3 linked regions of the Pelodiscus sinensis genome follow. The protein of the gene in region 1 interacts with the protein of each later gene in a biochemical or structural test. Links are inferred from orthologs where the notes say so. Each region holds a gene or a part of one and is shown on either strand. Other genes may lie near its edges.

Region 1 (7,049 bases):
ATGGCATATTCATTTATATAAAAGCAAAGGTAACAAGAAAATAAAAAATTTTTTTGGCACAATTGTACAAAACAGAACAGGAATTCAGAGAAATGCCTTGAGACAAATTTTAGTACTGTAACAACAACATTTCTTCTTAATTTAATTAAGAGATGACAACAATTCAAAAATTCAGAAAACCTTTTTCTTGTGGAACAACCAAATCTGAAGTCTTAACTGTCTTCAGCCAGTTTTTCCATTTGTTTTTCCTCAGCCTCCACCTGTGTGCAACTATTGCTTTCAATGGCATTTTTACAAGCTTAACAGATTGGCCCTATAGCTGAAACACAGTAAGCCTTTCTACTAATGATATGCAAGTATGTAGCTTAGGTATGGTAGCAGAAATAGCAAACCCCCCCCCCGCACACACACACACTCCACACTTCACTCAGTTACCAAAGGTAGCAGCTATGAATCAAATACATATATGGAGAAGATTTGATGAATGAGGACCATATTTACATTGCCATTTTCACAGTAGAAAGTTTTTGTACTGTAAGTTTTTGTAATTCAATTTCCCCTCCAGCCAGCCATTATTCTTCAAACTTGTAAAGGACAAATTCCAATGTGTACTACATACAACAGCCTGACTCATTGAGATATCTGTATTCCCATAGATGCTAACACTGACAGTCAAATAAAAGTTTCCACAAGCCTATGGCTCATTGGGGTGACTGGCTAAGGCTGGTCAGTTCCATAGTCAACAGTACACAAGAGAATGATGTGGCCAGTATCTCATCCAAATGCCTCTTACAGCCCCAACACAATTGGCTCAGGTACCAATGTTAAAATGGGATGACCTGTAAGTTGCCTTGCAGCATGAGGTTCAAGTCTTCCTTGATCTATATACCTTTAGGGCTGCAGCTGAGGACATAACCAACTCCAACACATTGCTATCTCCTTATCTCTGTCTTACCCAGAGACCAAATAACAGAAGGAAGAGTAGAATCTTTTATGAACAAATGTAGTGTCATTTTATATTTTTTCTTAATGCGTAGGTAACACAGCAATGGGTATTTACGTAATGTGCATTCTGTACTGAAATTTGCACAGGGATAGTATTTTGTTTGCTCAAGCACTTTTTTCCTTCTTTAAATCTCCACCTCTGTGGTAAGACCAAGCATGGAAAATTCCAGCCCCAAAAGAATTTTTCAGAATACGTGCAGTACTTTTGAAATTCTTTGCATGCAGGTCCTTTGCTCTGCACCAGAGTATGCAGATATTTCTCAACATCTGAATATCTATTGCATTTTTTCTTCTGTAAATTCGATTAAATCCATCTATTTATAAAACTAATTCTAGATGTTGATCAATTTCAGGGACTGATTTCTTCAGATCTTTACTCTGTGTATGAACACGGTTTTAATATTATTAAAAGCATATATATGCCTATAAAACAAGGAAATCAAGTCAAAATAGGTTCACGACTGTCAAATGGAAGGGGGGGGTGTCTGTTCCAATAATCATCTAGCCAAAACAAAAGTATTTTGATTGCCAATTACATAAAACTTTTTATCCAGAAGGCTGTCATATAAAATGTATTAATTCTAAGTTTAAATTAATTCACAGCTAAGATTATAAATGGAACAATCACAGAGGTTGAAAACAACTTTTACCTAGTTTACAGAGCGCCCCCCCCCCCCCCCACACACACACACACACACACCGACCAAGGATTGGGATATGATGTTAAAACACACACAAAAGTCCTAGTATGTGCTAATGCACGAGTTGCAATGATCTGTTTGTACTGTTCTCTCCTCAACCCCTGGACTTAGCTAATTCCCCAAAATTAAAGAAAATTTCACATCATCAATCCTCAGCAAGAACTCCTATAAGATTTGCCATGCAGCACATAACGCACAATAAAAAAGAAAAAGGAGTGGAGATTGCAAAGAAATAAAACAAAACAAAAATTAAAATAAAAAGAACTGTTTTGAGATAATATCTTGAAAGCATAAAGGCCTCTGGGCACCTTAAAATAAACTAAAAATAATGAGATTTAAAAGAAAACAAAGTGTGTTGAATTGCAGGACAGAAACCAAATATGAAAAAACCCCAAACAAAAACACACGATACGTTTTAGAAGTAAAGTGTAACTAGGGCTGCGGGCCACAGTACTGAAGCAAGAGTGGCAAGAAAGGCACTTTAATAATGAAGATGGTAGAACAGCTTGAGTGGGAATATGATCAACAGGAGAGTCCGGAGGAACAATTTTCTACACCATGGGGCTGGAGGAGCGGGGAGAGAGAGAAGAGCAAGGGAGCTAGAGAACGGAATACAAGGCGGGCAACTTCCTACACTACGGGGAGCCGAATAAGCGGGGCAAGAAAACGGGGCGAGCTTGTCAAGTGGAGGAAGGGAAGAAGAGGGGCAGGGGAGCAAGCAGGGAGGAAGGATACTCTCCTAACACCTCATTTGCAGTGGGACTCGCACCAGAGGCCTCCGCAGAGGGGCAGGGGTCCCCCCTCGCCGCACTCCTGGGAACTTGTAGCAGGGCGGCCCGTGGGCGCTCCTCCCACCGCGAGCGCTGAGCCGCCGCCGGAGGGGGACCTGGGGAGCAGAGACCTCGCCCGCGGCCCCCAGCGCAGCCCTGGGGGGGGATCCTGAGAGGGAGGGGGCGGGGCGCACTTTCAGGGGCAGGCGGGGTCTGATTGGACGCCGCCGGGGGCGGGCGTTACCTGGGCTCTCCGGGCTCGGCTGGGCCGCGGCGGGCCCGAGCCCCTGCTCCCCCCGCCCCGGTGCGGCGGCCCCGGGGCGCCGCCTCCTCCTCAGCAAGGGGCCAGGCCCTCGGGCTGCGGCCGGCCCCCTCAGGGCGGCCCCGGCTGGGGGGGAGGAGGCACTCACGGGCCTCCGGAGCGGGGGAGGGAAGGATCCAGCCGCCCCGTTACCGCCGCCTCCGCCGTGTTGTTGTTGCAGCTGCTGCCGCTCCACCACCGACACGTCCAGCCGCCTCCGCGCATGCGCAACATCCGGGCGCTCTCCCCCCCCCAATCTTGGGCGAGGGGTCCCCCTCCCTCCTGCTTCTACCATCGTTACGGAGAAGTGGTGGTTTTGCGCAGGCGTGTAGAGGTGAGCAGCGTCTCTAAGGTCGCAAAGCGCCGGGTAACGTTTGCATGCGGGCGGGCGGGCGGCTGCTTTTGTGTGGGTTGGGGCTCATATTTAATATTGTGGTTGCTGTCCCCGCCCTAAGGGGGAAAAGTGAGTTTCCTTCCCACTCTCGTTTGGCTTTTCCCCATCTCAGGGGCCCGGGATTTTGGACTCCAGGACTCTGAACAGTGACAGGGGCGCGCTCCTGCTGCTTGGTGGGTATTGGTTAGCTGCTCTATGGGGCATGTCTGGGGGGGGGGGGGGGGCTTTGGTTCAGTTTCTGGGGGATCACTAAGGTAAATACTATTAAGGGAAAATCAGGGTGTCTGTTTCACACCCATAGGCAGAGAGGACGCTGTTTGCCTGAGATGGCAGGAGGGGAGACAGACTGACCCATAGGTGGTGGCTAGACACCTTGCAAACTGGTCCAGGCACCTCCTCTGGTGTTCAGCGCTGCACATGGTAGTGGGTTGTTGTTAGGGCTCATTAATGCCAGGATTCACCACAGGGCACAATAAGTTAGGGCAGCAGCGAGACTAGATTCATCCATCCGCCTTCAGCTAGAAATTCAAAAGCATGAATGCAATTCTTCAACTCCTTTCTCATCCACTCCCCCTGCTCATCCACCACCTCGTTGTGTTTGCCATTTGACCCAAAAAAGGCTACATCAAATTCATGGGGTTTTTTTTAAGTCAAAGTAAATAGTGTAGCTTGGCTAATTGAAAGACATATTGCGAAGAACAGCCTTCAGGGTAGTCTGCTCAAACAGGATACAGCTCTCTTGGGTTTAGCTCTAAACTTCTCACTGTCTTTTTGCAGTTGCACAGTCAAAAGCCCAGATGTTTTGGAGTCACTCCTGAGTCTGAGATGTCTCCCAAAAGCCTGACATTGCCAAAAGCCTGAGGCTTGGGAAGTATGAGTGAGACCACAAAGAGCCATCATGTGTCATTGACAGCCCTTCCAGTTATTCCATGTTTGAACCTCTCATTTTCTGAGGCAGGGCTAGAACAGGGCCTGTATCATCTGTATTTCCTCAGTCCTCTTATATCAGGGCACTAGCTCTTGCAGCCACATGCACATGTCCCAATATGCTTGTTACAGGCCTTGGGACACACCTTTATACCACGGGGTTATACTTGCAGGTTACATGATTAGACACAAGCATGTGGCCAGTGGGAATCCTTAAGGCTTCCTGCAATTTAGATGGGCTGCAGACAAGAGAGATACAGACCTAGGGAAATCCTAGTAGAGGTCTTACCATAACAGTTTGGAAGGATTACTACAGAGGAAGGGTGTGGGAGTGTGTCCTCTCCCTTCCCAGCTGGTGGATGCTGGAACTACCATAAGGAAAGGGTGTGTATCCTTTTCCTTCCTGGCTGGAAAGTGCTATGTGTGGTTATATTCCAGTACCTGGAGTTGATTTGTTCTGGTTTTGAATTTCTTTTTTGAAAACAAAGCAAGCCTTGAAGAAAGGGTTGTGAAGGGCCCTGTCATTTAAACTTTATCTTTACACCCACAACTGATGAGTTTGCCACCCCCCTTCCACTTAGATTTAAGACACAGAAATACCTGTGATTTATTGCTCAAAGGAGAGAATGAGGTGATTGTATTGATTTTATTAGATCCACCAGCAGCCTCTAAAACCCATACGGAGCTGTTTATTTGTCTCTGGGACAGGGAAGGAGTGAATGAGGGTCATTGCAGTGATAGTTTTCTTTTTCTCTCAGATCTTTTTCCCGGGAATGTTCTGGATTTCAGTTTGTCACCCCTGTTGTGCCTCCTATGATTTCCGTGGGAGACAGAGATATGTTGGAGCTGAGTATCAGTTATTAATTGCTTTGCTGTACATTACTTCAGCTCAAAGAAGCAGCAAAGTGAGCGCTAGAGCACATCCTCAGTCCTCTCCTGTCCTCTTGTGTGGGACAGGAAGAGCCTTTTGGTAGAGAACACCGAGCAGCACTTCCCCATATCCTCTCTGTGCTAGCTAAGGCTGGCTTCCTAACTTGATTTTAAAATGCAGGGTGCCCAGTTGCTATGGTGATGAGCATAATAAAAGAACATAAAAATGCACAATGCAAGGAATAACATCCAGAACTGAGTTTTTGAAACAGATAATTTTTTTCAGAATTATGCTAAGGCTTGAAGACAATAGTGTTAACCACTATTAAATGGAGCAAACTTCTTTCTTTCCCACACAAAGCTTTTTAAACTAGACACGTTTTATTTCTTTTAACAAAAACATTCTCATCTTGACTGCTTGATCTTGTAACACTTAGACCATATCCATGCTATAAAGTTGATTTGACACAAGTTATGTTAGTATAGAACTACCAAAGTTTCTATATTGCTTGGGTGCACTCACACTTGGCTGCTTGTGTTGACACTTACTATGAGTGCTTGTATAACCCACATCTCTTGCTTGGTGTGGTGTACTGTCCCATGTTGTGGCACCAAACCACTTACAGAGAGAATAAAGAGTGCACTGTACACCCTTTGCTAATAGCTAGGTGGCTTTTTAGCTCATGCAGTAGAGGCTAAGTTCTAGAGGTCCTAGGTGCAATTCTATCCACAGGCAACCAGGGTCTGTCTGCATTACACTTGCATCAATATACAATAGTGTGATGCACCCCAAGTAGGTATATCAGTGCTCCATGCTGTCCTCCTGGACTGTTCCTTTTGGGACATTTCACAGTGCTTAGTGGTCTTCTCTCTGGCTCGGAGGGTGGTCACTTCACCACACTGATGGTACATCTAGACTGCCTGCGGCTTTTGAAAGAAGATATGCAAATTCGTTGCGAATTTGCATATCTTCTTCCGATCCCGTTTTTGGAAATTAAAAAAAAAAAAGTCTAGATGCGGTTCTTTCGAAAAAAAACCTTTTTTCCAAAGAACCCTGTACACCTTATTTTTTTAGGAAGAAGGGTTCTTTGGAAAAAAGGGTGTTTTTTTTCCCCTAAAGAACCACGTCTAGACTGCTTTTTTTTTTTAACTCTTCCAAAAATTTGCATATCTTCTTTCAAAAGCCACAGGCAGTCTAGACATGCCCTGAGAGGTCAGCCCACTTGCAGGGGAAATTATCAAACCAGGGGCTATAAGGTATGAGGGCTCTGGTCCTCAGACAGGTCAGAACGCTAGGCAGTCTTGCGGGGCTCTAACCTGCAAGCAGGACAGAGCTGCAAACAGATCATTCAACCTAAGATGGGGAGGCTGCAACTCTAGGAGTAGAGTTGGCAGCAGGGAAAAGGGGACTTAGTGGGGAGCAGGAATTCAGGACCCTGACAGTGGCAGAGGGCTTCACCAGTGGCTCAGCAGGGACCCCACTGAAATGCCAACTCAAGCAATGACAGCCAAACCAGATGGTAGCCTTGTTTCCCTGGGATACTTCCTACCACAATCCAGTCAGGGGCTTCAGCATCCAGAAGTCCTCCATTTCCTCAAGCTATCTGGCCACTAGCAAACCCAGTCACTCCTCTCCAGGCTCAATCTCCTGGGGGCAGGCCACAGCCACAGGCCTGCAACAAACAAGAGATATGTCGTTCCTCTCCAAGGGTGTGTCTAAACTACAGGGTTTTTTCAAAAAAAGTGGCCTTTAAAAAAAAAAAAACTTCTCCTGCATCTAGACTGCCACCGCGTTCTTTTGAAAGTAAATCGAAAGAACATGGCAGTTTTTTTGATCGCGGAAGATCTCATTTTACGAGGAATAATGCCTTTTTTCAAAAGCGCTCTTTCAAAAAAAGGCGTTATTGAATGCGAACTGTGCTTTTCCAGACTGCCTGGGTGCTCTCTTTTGAAAAAGCAGCTCGCTTTTTCGAAAGTACTGGCTGTAGTCTAGACACTCTTTCGAAAGAGGCTTGTAGTCTAGGCATCCCCTAACTGAGCTGCAGCCCTTTCTTTCATATGTTGTGTCCCGCTCTTAACTT
Region 2 (7,269 bases), on another chromosome or scaffold:
ATGGATGTTTAGGCACCAATTTTAAACAAACAGAATCAGGCTTAAAACCAAAGAATCTTTTTACAGTAAAACTCCAATTGTCCGGCATTCAGTGGTCCGGCACCAACTGGAACCTGGAAGTGCAAGTGCTCCGGCCAGCCGGACAATTGAAGCTACTGGCATGGAATGGGGCGGCGAGGGGCCAACCCTCCACCATTTTGCAGGAAGGAGGGGGAAGCCCCACACCACCGCCGAGAGTTTCTGGGAGGGGAATGGGCTCCCCACCCCCCAGACTGCAGTAGTTATCGCCGAGCAGGGGAGCGAGGGGCGGCGCTGCGGGACCAACCTAGCAGCACCCCAGATGCTCTGCTCCACTGCTTGCCAGTTTCAGCCGCTTCCCCAAGTCTGCTGCTGCTGAAACTGACGAGTGGCAGAGCAAAGCAGCTGGGGTGCTGCCAGGTTGGTCCCACAGCGCCGCCCCTCACTTCGCTGCTCGGCAGCACTCCAGCTGCTCTGCTCTGCCACTTGTCTGCTGCTCATTAATTTCATAAGGAGCAGTGGCGGACTTGGGGAAGCGGCGGGGCGGAGCAGAGCAGCTGGGGTGCTGCCAGGCACTGTGCAGGGGGTAAGGGGCGGTACTGTGGGACCAACCCAGCAGCACCCCAGCTGCTCTATTTCGCCGCTTTCTCAAGTCCGCCACTGCCGCTGCTGAAACTGATGAGCGGTGGACAAGCGGCAGAGCAGAGCAGCAGGGGTGCTGTGGGTTGGTCCCGCAGCACCGACCCTCACCCCTCTGCTCAGCGATAACTACTGCAGTCTGGAGGGTGGGGAGCCCGCTCCCCTCCCAGAAACTCTCGGCAGCGGTGTGGGGCTTCCCCCACCTTCCTGCAAAATGGCAGAGGGCTCGCCCCTCGCCGTGCTATTCCCTGCCCACCCCCCAGACACAGTGCGGGTCCTGGCAGACCCGTCACAGCCCCCCGCCGGAGTACCTCCCGATACTCCCGCATATCCAATAATCTGGCACCACCTAGGTCTCAAAGGTGCTGGATTATTGGAAGTCTACTGTACTTGCTTTACAGTTTAAATGCTTAATAGGTACAGCTAGAACAGATCACTATACATCATTAAATTATTTCAACAAAGAATAATATTTGTGGTCTTATTAACCCTACAGAAACAACGAGGACTCCTGTGGCACCTTATAGACTAACTGAAGTGTAGGAGCATAAGCGTTCGTGGACAAAGACCCACTTCGGCTACTTGATTAGTTGATTAATTGAAATTTAACATCTCTACTGTGTACAGTATTAAATTTATTAAAACTCATACTGTGTATATTAGAGACACACATTGCCTTTTGCCTGCTGGAAAAACATATCCTGGAACCTAACCTGCATTTTCATTAATTCTTATGGGAAAATTAGCTTTGCTTAACGTAGAGTTATATTCCTGAAAAATATTAAGTGAGGAGTTACTGTACATTATAATCTATTCCAACTCATAATTTATATTGAAATCTATAAGTAATCCAGCTGTAAATACAGCAGCAATTCTTATTCCCTAACCCTGCAACCTGAGTTTCACCATTAAATTTAGGAGAACTTTGCACAAATGAAACAAGTGTCTCTAATTGTATTAGATATAGTTAATGAAATACAAAAATTCAACTATAGATAGAGGAACTATTTGAACCTGGAAACATGTATGGGATGTACTGCTCATTCTGCACTACATCACTATCAAGATTGCAGTGTGAGGTTAATATAAAATAAGTATATGATGTAGTAGGTAAATATAATAGAAAGTTCCAGCTTGGAACTTTTTATTATATTTACCTACTACATGTTCGCAAGTTTCATCAGAGATTAAAGCACCAATTCTGTCTGCACTAAACCCATTGGAGGATTAGGGCCTACATGTGAATGGAAGTCTATATGGAAAGGCAGGGGGTAGAGGAAAGAACTATTTCAGTTATGTTTCATGCAAACATTCTGTATAATGTTCATATCTTCTAAAGTACAATTACTGGTAGTTGCCAATGCTGTCTATATACTCCGTGATTTATATTTTTTCTTCTCAAAGGAGATTTAGGGTTTCTTTTGATGGAAAATAAGGGGGGGGGGAAGAAGAGAGAGTGAATGTGTGTGTAAATGAAGCCAACTATACATATTATGTATAACTGCTATAGCTGTGAAATACAAAGATTTCATGCTTGACACTGAGTTGTTATTACAGCACCAATAGCCTATCTTCTGGCACAACGGATCTCTTTATTTACCTGTTTTGCATTTTCAATATATGCAGCCATATATTCATATGCAGCAGCCTGAGCATTGACTCGGGTTTCAGTGCCTTCTACAGGTAAAGCGAAGCTGTCCATGATAATCATAGTTTCCCCATCCACTTTCCCAAGCATCAGCCCCATTACTTCCAGATTGCCTCCAGACCGGGCGTGCATGACCATCTTCAGCAGGGCCAGAGCCGAAATCTTGCAGTATCTGAAGTAGTGGTTGCTACAGAAAAGAGCGGAGAGATATTAATGAGAGGACAGGTACATGACCAGGCAGGCAAACACACACAGAGGAAACGTGCACAGTACAGCAAGGGGGGGGGGGGGAGGGAAAGAAGGGAGAAGTAGCTGGGTGGCGTTTATCAACACCTACCCAGGGCCCCTCTTAACCGCCACCCGCCGGAAATGCTGCTGACTTCAGGACCTAAACCACACGGGTGGCCCCGCTGCCTCCCCGGGCTCCATGGGCCCCGCCGCCTCCCCGCCCCCATAGCCCGGAACGCTCCCCCGCGCCCGGCTCTCACTCCTTGGTCCAGGGCTTGGCCGCCAGGATCTCCTGCTGCTGCTTGCGGTCGTACTTGTAAATCTCGTCGATGCTTTGCGCCTCCTGCATGTTGTTGGCCAGTTCCCAGCTCTTCTGCGCCATCCCGCTCCCGGAGGTGCCGGCCGCCGCCATCCCCCAGCCGCCCGGCCCGACCCGGCCGCCGCGCAAACCAAGTGTCGGGCGCGAGAAGGGGGGAGCCAAGGCTTGGAATGTCCCGATAGAAACTGGGGGAGGGTTGGGAATGGTACAGTCCGCAAAGCCTGAAACCTCCTGGGCAGCGCGCCCCCTAGAGGCCAGTCTTAGAAGTACCGCCCTACTCAGAACCATGCCCGGCTGACAGCGGGGCCATGGATAAGCAACGCACATGCGTAACACAGACCACGCTCAGCTAGCTGTGCAGGTGATCTCAGTAGTTGCGCACGCAACAACTTAGGGATGTCGCAGTGTGGAAATGAACAGATGGTCAAGCGTTGCTAGTTCTCACAATGTAATCCTGGGTCTCCTGATGTTTGGTTTCTTAGGTAAATCTTCAGCTCCTGAAATGGGAGGACACGAGAAGCTCAACTTCATTTTTAAAAAGTCTGTCCTAGCCATCTTGGTTAGGATTGCTGATTTTCTGCAAAACGGAATAGCCTTACTCTACCCCCTACTCCTTTTCCAAGGCCCTGCCCTTGCTCTCTGCATCCCTCCTTTCTCTGTTGCTTGCTTTCTTCACCCTCATTCACTCTTTTTCACAAGGCTGGCCCAGTGATTGAAGTGTAGGAGGGGATGTGGGCTCTAGGGTGGGACCAGGGATGAAGTGTTTGGGGTGCAAGAGGGAACTCTAGTGTGTGGGGTGGAGCCAAGGGATTAGGCATATGGAAGGGAGTTCTGGGCTGAAGCAGTGGGCTGGGGTGTAGGATGTGGCACAGATTTTGGACTGGGGGTGTGGGTTCTGGGGAGGGGCAGAAATGAGGGGTTCAAAATGTAGGATGGAACTGGAGACTGGGAGTTGGGAGCTGGTGTGCAGTGGGGAGCTGGTTTTTAAGCTTACTCTCCAGGCATGCCAGTTCCCAAGGAGCCACCTTTCCCTCCTCGCTAATACAGAGGCAGCAGTGGAGGGGGGGGAGGGGAAAGGGGGAAGGAAGAAGGAGACAGAAGCCAGCATGTGTGGGGAGCTGGCTTAAAAGCACCAGCTGCCACACGTTTACAAAAATAAATGCATTTTAATATGCCTAGTAATGATCAGGGCTTGACAAATAATACAATCTACTCGACATGGGTGAGTAGATTGTAACCCGGAAGAATTGGGTTTGGGTGATCTGCGGGTTTGGGGGGACAACGCAGCTGGCGAGCAGGGCTCACCGCTGTTCAGCAAACCCTGGTAATGACTATGTCTGTAAAGCAAGGGTGGGCAAGAGAGCTTCTGTGTGTGGGGGGAAGCACACAAAGTCACCACCGACGGGAGGAGAATTTGCATGCTCCCCCACCTCCACCCCCACCCCCACCGCCTGATTGGCCTGGCAGCAGGAGGAACCCGCAAAGTTTCCTCTGCCTTATCCCTGCCCTGCAAAAAGCACGCAGCACTTATAAGTGTTTATCCATTAGGCACAGTGCCTAGGGCCCATGATACTTTTAGGGGCCCATGAAAATGTTTTAATTTCTTTTAAAATCAGAAGACAAAAATGAACTTTTAGGGTCAAAGAAAATGTTTTAATATTTTTCTCACATCAGAAAAAAATGAAACTTTTAGGGCCCACGAAAATCTATTACATTTTGCCTAAAACAGAAAAAAAATGTTTAAGTATTTAAAGTTATATCAAAATACTTTTTAATATTTTTTTTTTTTTATGGAGGAAGGGGCCCATGAAGGCAAAAGTGCCTAGGGCCCACAAAAGTCATACTGTGGCCCTGGCTCCCAGACCCTGATTGGCCTGAGGGTGGGGGACATGGGAAGTCTCCATCTACCATTGGGCATGGGTGCTTAGTGGGAAGGAGGAACAAAGGGGCTCCTCCACCCCTAGATTAATCATGGAGTATGGGTGGGGAAGCCTGGAAACCATCCTGGCCCCGCCCCTTCCGGAGCGGCCCAGGGCCAGGCGACCCCTGGCAAAAAAACTGTTGCCCACCCGTACTGTAAAGTGTCATGCACAGCTAGATCTTAATCATGTAGTGGAATCCCTGCACATGGTTCTGCTCATGGAAAACCCAAGTTAGGAAAATGGGACATGATGAAAATGCAAATGTCTGGCCCTACACAAGGCCCTATTATTGATTCTGCATCAGTGTGAGAGGTCTGTGCCCCTGCAGAGCTCTACTGATTGCTACAGGGTCATTATATATATATATGGAATGTTTATATTAACAAATTTAAAGTTATGCTTCATATTACACTTATTCCTTTGTCTCACATTTAATGAATTTTTGGGCCCTTGTAATGGGCTATAAGAAGGGAAGAAATGAGAGAGCTGGGAAGGTCTCCATTCTTGATGTCATATGGAAACACTATTTGCAGGGGAAGTAGATTCAGCATAAAGAGTAAAAGTGATGAGAAGTCCTTTGGCACCTTATAGACTGACAGATTTATTGGAGCATAAACTTTTGTGGGCAAAGACCCACTTCCCCGACTACTGCTCTGTATTGTAAGGGACAGGGGAGCTGGTGCGCAAAGATGCTGGCTCAGTCCCTGGTCCTGCTCCCCTGTCCCTTACAATGCATCTGACGAAGTAGGTCTTTGCCCACAAAAGCTTATGCTCCAATAAATCTGTTATTCTATAAGGTCCCACAGGACTCTTGCAGATTCAGACTAACACAGCTAACCCTACTGATAGAAATGTAGCTGTGTTAGTCTTGGGTAGTTGAAGCAAAATGCAGGACAATGTAGCACTTTAAAGACTAACAAGATGGTTTATTAGATGATGAGCTTTCATGGGCCAGACCCACTTCCTCAGATCAAATAGTGGAAGAAAGTAGTCACAACCATATATAACCCTCTGATACTTAGCAAGAAGAGTAGAAGCAGAGAGGCCAATTGACAATAAAATAGTGGCAAAGTTCTCATTCTTGGTTTACACTCCTGCTTTAAAAAAAATCAAACTGCAAACACAGCCCTCCACGTCCTAGGATTTGTGTGTGGGAGAGGGGTAGGAGGAAGATGGCCCTCTGTATGTGATGGTTGGGTACAGTGTCACTTTTGGGAGGGAGAGAATGGGGTCCACTACATGGAGGTATTCGTGACCGTGCAGTATCCTTGTCTGGTTCTACGGTATGTCCTCTGTGTGGTATTTGTTTAGGTCCAGATGGTCACCTGTGTACCGGGTGGGAGGAGAATTGTGCATGAGGATCTCGCGTGCCGGGAGTGGCTCCCTGGCAGGCATCGGGTACGAAACGAGAGACATCCCCGCACATCCACACCGGGAGTCCGGTCCCGGCTCCCGCGCAGCAGGGGGCGCTGTTTGCAGCCGCGGAGGTCTGGCGGCAAGTCTCCGGGGGAGGCGGTAAAGTGAGAGGACGAGGGCGGGAGCTGGAGCTGAAGCTGCCGCCTGCAAACCCGACGGTGAACCGGTGAGTGACGCCGCGGGCTGGCTGCAGCCGTGACAACGGGACCGGGGAACTCAACGGCGGCTGCTGAGGCTAAGGGGTGGGGCGCAGGGAGCCCCCCTCCCGGGAGCGCGGGACGCAATTCTGCCCCGTCACCTGCCCCCTGGGGCGGCCGCTCTGGTCTCCTGCCTGTGTCTGAGGCGCGGACGGGGAGTCGGGGGCTGCGGCCCCCTCGCTGTGAGCCGCCCCGGGATGGGAGAAGCGAGCACCCCAGGGCCTCGCTGCGGGGCGGGGGGACCTGTGCCCCTCCGGTGGCGGCCGGGGGAAAGCGCGGGGGTGTCTGCGCCCCTCCGGGGAACGAAAGGCCTCGCGAGGCAGGGAGGAGGCCGAGGAGGGGGGCGCGCTAGGCCCAGGCTGGAGCCGCAGCAGTTTTTGTTGTAGCCTGGTTGCCTAACAACGCTGAGTAGCGTCTTAAAGAGGCAGAGCCCGAGGCCGCCGCGCTGTGTGCGAGGAACGTGGCCTGACTCGGGCCCGCTCTGGTGTCTCTTTCCCCCTCTCTCTGCGCGGGGCAGCGCCTTGTAACCCTACCCCCCCCCCGCGCTGCTGTTGCTGCTGCCCCCCGGTGCCCGGCGGCGGCGTGTCCCTGGTCGCTCTAATGCGCTATCGGTTTTTCGCAGTTTGTATCTCATTGGCTTGTCTTAATAACCAGGCATTTTTATTTTTCTTTCCTCTCATAAGACACTGTCATGCATCTGTGTAATGCATATTTATTTTCGTAGCGTCTTTCATATAAGCTGTACTGAACTGCTTTACAGAGCTTTATTGTACCGGAGGGGGAGAGGGAAATTAAGAGGAATATAAGCAAAAGAGGAAAGCATGTTTTTCAGATAAGATGTGAAAAGAAGTGGCGAACTGGAGGGAAAAGATCCAGGAAGCA
Region 3 (7,751 bases), on another chromosome or scaffold:
AGGGAGATGGGAGCGAGGAGGCAGGGCTGGGGGGGGCAGGGGCTGTGACTCCCAGCAGGGAAGGGAAGGGAAGGAAAAGGAAGGGCCGGATAGGACACAGACTCCACAGACTTGAGGGGAAGTGACAGAGCCTGGGGGGGGGGGGTCAGGTTAGTTCAGCACCAGGCTGGGGCCTCCCCCCGGCCCTGCCCCAGTGTCCCCTCTCCCGGTTCTCCTGGGGATGTGCCCCCCTCCTGCCCCAGCTGGGCACCTGGGGTCTCTCCCTGGCTCTGGGGGAGCGGGGTCCAGTGGTTAGAGCAGGGGGGCTGCTGGGATCCTGGGCTCCACCCCTGCCCCCAACTCGCTGTGTGACCTTCAGTGGCCCCCTCCCCCGCTCCAGGGATCATTAACTAGACCCGGGAGCAAACAACATGGACCCTGGAGCCCGGGGTCCGGAGAGGCCAGAAATTATCCTGGGGGGGGGGGGGATCTGCTACTGCAGCCCCATGAGAACCCAGGAGTCCCAGGCTCCCCCCCCCAACCGCCGCTCTAACCACTAGCCCCCACTCCCCTCCCAGAGCTGGGAAGAGACCCCAGGAAACCAGGCTGCCCCCCCCCCGCTCTAACCACTAGTCCCCACTCCCCTCCCAGAGCTGGGAAGAGACCCCAGGAAACCAGGCTGCCCCCCCCGCTCTAACCACTAGTCCCCACTCCCCTCCCAGAGCTGGGAAGAGACCCCAGGAAACCAGGCTGCCCCCCCCGCTCTAACCACTAGCCCCCACTCCTCCCAGAGCCAGGAGCGAACTCACACTCAGCTTCATTTGCAGCCAGAGGCTCGGGTCCCCCAGGCCAGCCCCTGCCCCTCCCCCTTGTGACCCAGTCACAACCTCGCCCCCCAGCTGCCCTCACCCCCAACCCACAGGGTCGGGCCCAGGGGTCGCTTGTCCAACCCTCCCCCAGCCAAAGGGGTCCCTGGGGGCGGGAGGCCGAGACGGGACAGGACCCCGGGGAAGGGAGGGGGGGCACCAGGGAGGAAAGGGGAGGTCCTCGGGGGGAGGGGCATTCCAGCGAGCAAAGGGTGCCGGAGGAGGAGGTGCCGGGGGACAGGGGGTTGCCCAGGGGGTACTGGGGCAGCGGGGGCTCCGGGGGACGGGACCCTAGCGCGGGGGACAAGTAGATGGTAGGGAGGAATAGTGCGCGGGACAGAAGGATACAGGGGGGGATACCGCACGGGACAGAGGGATACGGGGGGGGGATACCGAGCGGGACAGGGGGATACAGGGGGGGATACCGCACGGGACAGGGGGATACGGGGGGGGATACCGCATGGGACAGGGGGATACGGGGGGGGGATACCGCACGGGACAGGGGGATACGGGGGGGGATACCGCACGGGACAGGGGTATACGGGGGGGGGATACCGAGCGGGACAGGGGGATACAGGGGGGGATACCGCGCGGGACAGGGGGATACAGGGGGGGATACCGCGCGGGACAGGCGGATACGGGGGGGGATACCGCGCAGGACAGGGGGATACCACACGGGACAGGCGGATACGGGGGGGATACCGCACGGGACAGGCGGATACGGGGGGGGATACCGCACGGGACAGGCGGATACGGGGGGGGATACTGCGCGGGACAGGGAGATACGGGGGGGGGATACCGCGCGGGACGGGAGGGGGGTGGGCCCGGCACAGGGGGATACCGGGGGATACCGCACGGGACAGGGGCATACGGGGGACATCGCATGGGACAGGAGGGGGGGTAGGCCCGGCACAGGAGGATACGGGGGGGGGATTCCGCGCGGGATGGGAGGGGGGGTAGGCCCGGCACAGGAGGATAGGGGGGGGGGGGATACTGCGCAGGACGGGAGAGGGGTAGGCCTGGCACAGGAGGATACGGGGGGATACCGCGCGGGACGGGAGGGGGGTGGGCCCGGCACAGGGGGATACCGGGGGGGGGGGATACCGCGCGGGACGGGGGGGGGTGGGCCCGGCACAGGGGGATACCGGGGTGGGGGGTTACCGCGCGGGACGGGGGGGGGGGCCCGGCACAGGGGGATACCGGGGTGGGGGGTTACCGCGAGGGACGGGGGGGGGGCCCGGCACAGGGGGATACCGGGGTGGGGGGTTACCGCGCGGGACGGGGGGGGGGCCCGGCACAGGGGGATACCGGGGTGGGGGGTTACCGCGAGGGACGGGGGGGGGCCCGGCACAGGGGGATACCGGGGGGGGTTACCGCGAGGGACGGGGGGGGGGCCCGGCACAGGGGGATACCGGGGGGGGGTTACCGCGCGGGACGGGGGGGTCCCGGCACAGGGGGATACCGGGGGTCTCTGCCCCCCTCACCTCAGCACCTGGACGGTCTCAGCCGCGCGGGGTCCCTCCAGCAGGACGTAGACAGTCGGGGGGGCCCGCTGGGGGTCGGGTTCCCGGGCCCCCTGCCCCGCCCCGTGCGACATTCTCCTCCCCCCGCAGGGCTCGGGGCCCGGGGGAAGCGGCCGGTGTCCCAGCAGGAGTGGCCCGGGGGGGGGGCGCTGGGCCTAGGGCGCGGGGTCCGAGAGCGGCCGCTGGCTCCGGTGCGGGACCCCCCTCAACCCCGATCGCAGCCGATAAACACCCGGCCGGAGAGTTATTGCCTCATCCCCCGGCTGGGGGGGGATCGCCAAGGGAAATGACGTCACGTCGGGATACACCCCCAGCCCGGGGGGGTGCCAGGGGGGCATCTGACACACGCCCCGACGGTGCCCCTCGCTCCAGACCCCCATCGCCTCGCCCCGCTTGTCCCGGGCCCGTCCCGCGGCCGGACCGAAGCAGGACCCGGATTTTCGGGAGCCCCCCAGGACCTCCTGGGGCTGAACCCCCTCTCCATGCGCGCGCGTGTCCCTGTCGCTCGTGGGGTGCGGTGTCCGGTGGGCGCGAGTTGTGTGTGTGTGAGTTGTGTTGGTCGGGGTGTGGTTGTGTGTCTCTGGGTGTGCGCCGGCTGTTGTGCTCTGGGAGTGTGCGGCTCTGCCAGTCAGTTGTCGTGGAGGGATTGTGTAGCTCTGTGTGAGACTTGTGTGTGTGTGTGTGTGTTGTCAGCGGGTGTTGGGTGCGTGAAGTGGTGTGTCTGTGGGTGTATCAGTTCCCGTGGGGAGGGGGGGGGACTATGGGTACCTATTTATGTGGCTGTGGTGTGTATCTGCTGTAACAGTGTGTGTTCAATTGTGTATCATTGTGTGGGACCGCTTTCGTGGTAGGCGGTGTGACCGTTCACCTCTCTGTGTGTATCGGCTGCCATGGCAGGGGTCCGGCGGTGCGTCTGAGTGTGCGTGTGAGGTGTTGCGGGGCAAGCGGTTGTCTGCCTCTGTGTGTAGCCGCTGTGTACCGGTGTCGGTGCGACTGTGCATCTCCGTGTGTGCCAGGGCTCCAGCTGTCCGGGTGCGGGGGTGTCGGTCCCTGTGGCTCAGTTTGTTGTGGCTTGTGCTACCCCCTTAAGCCCCCCCTCACAGCCCATCCCCGCGCCGCCCCGCGCCCCGCCCCCTACATTCCCTCCGGCGCCCCAAGGGTTAATCACTGGAGCAGGCGGATTGGCGTGACCACACAGGGTGTGTGTGAGATACACCCGGCCCGCCTGTGCGTGGGGGGCGGGGGCTACACCCGGCCTGTGACAATGTGCCTCTGCCTGTCTTGCACCGGGAGCCGATTGGCCCAGTAACCAGCCAGCGACTGTCCGGCTGTGCAACCCCCCACCACACACCCTCCTCCGCCTGTTGGCGACAGAGAGGGTGTGAAACAGGCGGCGGGGACTGGGAGCCAGGGCTTTTCCAGCCGAAAAAGAGCCGGGAACTGGCTGGCTGGATTAAACGGGGGCGGGGGGGTCCCCCTTGCACCCCCGGACTGGTCACACACCCGCGGCGGCGGTTGTGCGTCCCCCGAGCCAGGAAACAGAACAACGCATCTGAGAGAGGAAAGGTAAGAGACCCCCCCCCCGGAAAATAGCCTGGAGGGGGCTGGGCTGGCTCGGTGGGGCAGGGGCCTGTCCCGTCCATGGGGCACCAGATCCCCCCGCTGAGCCAGAGCGGGGGGCTGGCTGGCTCGGGGGTGGGGAGGGATAAAGCCTCCCCTGGCAGGGTCAGGGAGCAGGATGGAGGGCTGGGCGGGGGGGGGCATTCCCCAGGACATTGAGGGGCACCATGGGGTGGAGAGTGGGGCTGAGGGCTGGGCAGGGGCATCCTCCCCTGGGCACTGGGGGGCTGGGAATGGGGCAGGGGTGCTGTCCTCTGGTAGGCAGGTCCAGGCGCTGTGGGGCAGAGACTGGGCTGGGAGACTGGACAGGGTGCTGTCCCCTGGAAGGCAGGCCTGGGCACTGTGGGTCTGGGAGCTGGGTGGGGGCTGAGCAGACGATGCGTGGGGCTGGGAGCTGGGTGGGGGCTGGGTATTGGGTGCTGTGGGGCCGGGTGGGGGCTGGGCAGGGGCTCTGCCCCCTGGCAGGCAGGCCTGGGCCCTGGGTGTGCCATGCTGGGAGGAGCGGGCGGCTGGGCAGAGTTTAGTGTAACAAGTTCTTCCCCCCCCTCCCCCCCGTGTGGCTGTTCCCCAGCTGCTCTGCCCCAGAGGTGGCTGCATTGCACAGTCAGGCCAGTCCTTCCCGGGGATGCGGGGGGGGGGGGGCTGTTTCTGTGTCCGGGCAGCTGGAAAGGTCTGGATCTGAGGGTCACTTGAACTGGAAACAGGGTCTGGGGAAGTTGATGCTGAGAGGCTAGTGGGGCAAACCAGGGCGCAGGAGGGACAGGGGGTCTAGTGGTTGGAGTCCGGCTGCCTGGGTTCCCGGGGTGGGGGGTGAGCCGTGCCCGGCCTGGCTGCTTGGCAGAGTGACCTATTTTGTGGCATGAGGTGAGGCCGCTGCGGGAGCACCCTGGGCCAGGGTCTCTGTGGGAAGGGGGCATTAAACCCTCGCAGCCGTTCCCACCCCATCAATGGGCACAGAGCAGGGGGACAGGAGGGGCCCGGCCTGGCTCAGGGATTGTCTTCGGCCCCCTAAGCGGCTTTGGAGTCAGCTGATTGTGTTAATCCCCATTTTAATGAGAGTCAGGAAAATGCACAAAGATGCCCCTCTCTGCGGGCAGCTGGGAACAGAACCCAGGCCTCCAGCCCCCCCTTGCCCTGACCCACCTGACCCCGCTCCCTTCCTGGGGCTGTGGCGAGAACCCAGGCGTCCTGGCTGCCGTCCGACAGATGAATCATTCCCGGTCTGGTGGTGCCAGGGCACTGGAATGCAGAAGGCTCGTTCAACCGGTGCCACCAGTGCCCTCGTGCCGTCGCTGGAGGAGGGAAAGTACCAGTGCCATTAGCTGGGGGAGTGTGTTGCAACTACCTCTGGGGTGGGGCAGCTGGGGAACAGCTGCATATAATGCTGCTCAGAGAGGGCTCGCCCAGCACTAGGATGCAGCCGCTTCTGGGGCAGGGTGACTGGGGAGCAGCCGCATATAACGCCAATTGGAGAGGGCACGCCCAGGGCCAGGATGCAGCCACTTCTGGGATGGAGCAGCTGGAGAACCGCTGCATATAACGCCGCTTGGAGAGGGCTCCCCCAATGCTGGGATGCAGCCACTTCTGGGGCACGGCAGCTGGGCAACAGCTGCATATAACACCACTCAGAAAGGGCTCACCCAGTGCCAGGATGCAGCCACTTCTGGGGCGGGGCAGCGGGGGAGCCGCCACCGAACGGGAAACACGCAGCAGGGGGGCTTCCGTTTTCTGGGGCTCAGTGTCCGTTAGCAGGAAGTCCTGGTGAGCTCAGGTGTGAATTCCTTTCCAGCTTTTCCAGCATCCAAGCCTGTCAGCAAGTCTCCAGGCGGGGTGCGGGATGGGGATGGCCCTGTGTTTTGGGGCTGCTTGGTTCAGCCCGATGGGAGACTGAGGAGGAAAATGATGGAGGGATCTCAGCAGGCGGGCAGAGCCAGGCGCTGGGGGGCACCGAGTTGTGGGCACTGGAGGGGGGAGCCCCAGGGAACAGAGGGTTCAATGGGGCTGCACTGGGGGGCATTCCAGGCTGTTCTGTGGGCAGCCTCCCCTGCCCCCTCCATGCACCTCCAGGTATGCCTGGAATGGGCCCCCTGGCCCTGTATGGTGCCGGCAGAAGGGGTAGCACCACCAGGGCCCCCGGCCAGTGGATGGGGGTCCCCAGATACATCATGGGGAGCCCTTTGGGTATCAGTGGAGGCCTCGAGGCCGCTTTAACCCTTGTAGTGCCAGGAGCAGAGAGGGCAGATCCCTCCAGATACCTGGGCTCTTCTCAGAGTAGCTGTGAATGTGTCAGGGTGTGTGGGTGTGTGTGTGTTGGAATGCTAGCGTGTGTTACTTTGTGTAGTTGTTAGTGTGTGCGCGCACTGTGCCAATGTGGTAGTGTGTTTCCTTGTGTGGCTGTTTTTGGGTGGGTGTTTGGCTGTGTTGCTGTGTGTCTTTTGTGTTTGTTATGGTCTGCATTACTTGTGTGGGGATGGCATTGTGTATGTGTTTTGTGCGGTATTGTTGTGTTAACCTGTGTTGATGTGTTATGTGTATTTGGTGTAGGAGGCAGCAAGTGTGGTGTTGTCAGTGGATCGGTGCGTTAGTGTGGGGTTCCTAGTGCGTAGGTGGTGTGCGTTGTGATGAGGGGGTGTTGCCCAGTTTTTGGTCTGTGTGCGTGCTAGTGTGTGTTGGCTTGGGTGTGTATTGTTGCAGTGTGTGTTACTCTGTGTGTTTGCCTTGTGCGTACATCTGTCGTCTTGTATATGTACATGTTGTGTGGGTGTGTGTAACTGTGAGAGTGGGAGAGAAGTGTGCGTCTCATGGTCTGTGGGTTATCTGCCCATGTGCATCTGTGTGCCCACGTCCCTGGGGGTATGCTGCAGATGGTGTGCAGAGCCCTGGGTGTGTGTCCCAGTGTGTGTCGTGGGGTGTGCACCCGTGTGTGTAGATCACTCTGTGTGCGCAATGGGATGGTGTCTACCTGGCTGTGTGTCCCAGGTGCCGTGGCTCAGGCTGTTTGTTCCCGGTGGCCTGTCCCAGGGTAGTGTGTCCCCAGGTGGTGTGCACTAGGCTGCCTGTCCTTGGAGGCGTACACCTGGCGGCCTGTCCTGGGTGGTGTGTACCTGGCTGCCTGTTCCAGGCAGTATGTCACCAGGTGCCTGTCCCAGGGACGTACACCTGGCTGCTTGTCCCAGTCAGTGTGTCCCTGACTGCCTTTCCCGGCAGCTTGTCCCGAGCTGGCGTATCCCTGGTTTCCTGTTCCGGTCACTATGTCTCTGGCTGCCTGTCCTGGGTAGTGTGTGCCTGGCTGCCTGTCCCAGGCACTGTGTCCCTGGCTGCCTGTCCTGGATGTCTGTACCAGGCTGCCTGTCCCGGGCTCTGCATCCCTGGCTGCCTGGCCCAGTCACTGTCTCTGGCTGCCTGTCCCAAGCTGCCTGTCCCAGGTGCTGTGTCCCTGGCTGCCTGTCCTTGCTGTCTATCCCAGTCACTGTCTCTGGCTGCCTGTGGCAGGTGCTGTGTCCCTGGCTGCCTGTCCTGGATGTCTGTACCAAGCTGCCTGTCCTGGGTATCTCCACCAAGCTGCCTGTCCCGGGCTCTGCATCCCTGGCTGCCTGTCCCAGTCCCTGTCTCTGGCTGCCTGTCCCAAGCTGCCTGTGGCAGGTGCTGTGTCCCTGGCTGCCTGTCCCGGGTGCTGTGTACCTGGCTGCCTGTCCTGGATGTCTGTCCCAGGCTGCCTGTCCCGGGCGCTGTGTACCTGGCTGCCTGTCCTGGATGTCTGTCC

Evidence for each region. The genes of interacting proteins can lie anywhere in the genome.
Region 2: the proteins of SMAD4 (region 1) and COPS5 form a complex in vitro, tested with the Homo sapiens proteins (2 studies listed by BioGRID). The link is inferred for Pelodiscus sinensis from reciprocal best matches to the Homo sapiens genes SMAD4 and COPS5.
Region 3: the proteins of SMAD4 (region 1) and TFE3 form a complex in vitro, tested with the Homo sapiens proteins (2 studies listed by BioGRID). The link is inferred for Pelodiscus sinensis from reciprocal best matches to the Homo sapiens genes SMAD4 and TFE3.

The regions. Positions count from the first base shown.
Region 1 is NC_134716.1:114,750,477-114,757,525, forward strand, and holds the start of SMAD4 (mothers against decapentaplegic homolog 4), read right to left. Parts: upstream 3,020-7,049; 5' UTR 2,887-3,019; exon of another isoform or gene 2,721-2,886; intron 1-2,720. UniProt on the Homo sapiens protein: In muscle physiology, plays a central role in the balance between atrophy and hypertrophy. When recruited by MSTN, promotes atrophy response via phosphorylated SMAD2/4.
Region 2 is NC_134712.1:57,851,430-57,858,698, reverse strand, and holds the start of COPS5 (COP9 signalosome complex subunit 5), read right to left. Parts: upstream 3,014-7,269; 5' UTR 2,946-3,013; coding exon 2,794-2,945; intron 2,493-2,793; coding exon 2,258-2,492; intron 1-2,257. UniProt on the Homo sapiens protein: Probable protease subunit of the COP9 signalosome complex (CSN), a complex involved in various cellular and developmental processes.
Region 3 is NW_027466045.1:99,140-106,890, forward strand, and holds the start of TFE3 (transcription factor E3), read right to left. Parts: upstream 3,014-7,751; 5' UTR 2,443-3,013; coding exon 2,330-2,442; intron 1-2,329. UniProt on the Homo sapiens protein: Transcription factor that acts as a master regulator of lysosomal biogenesis and immune response.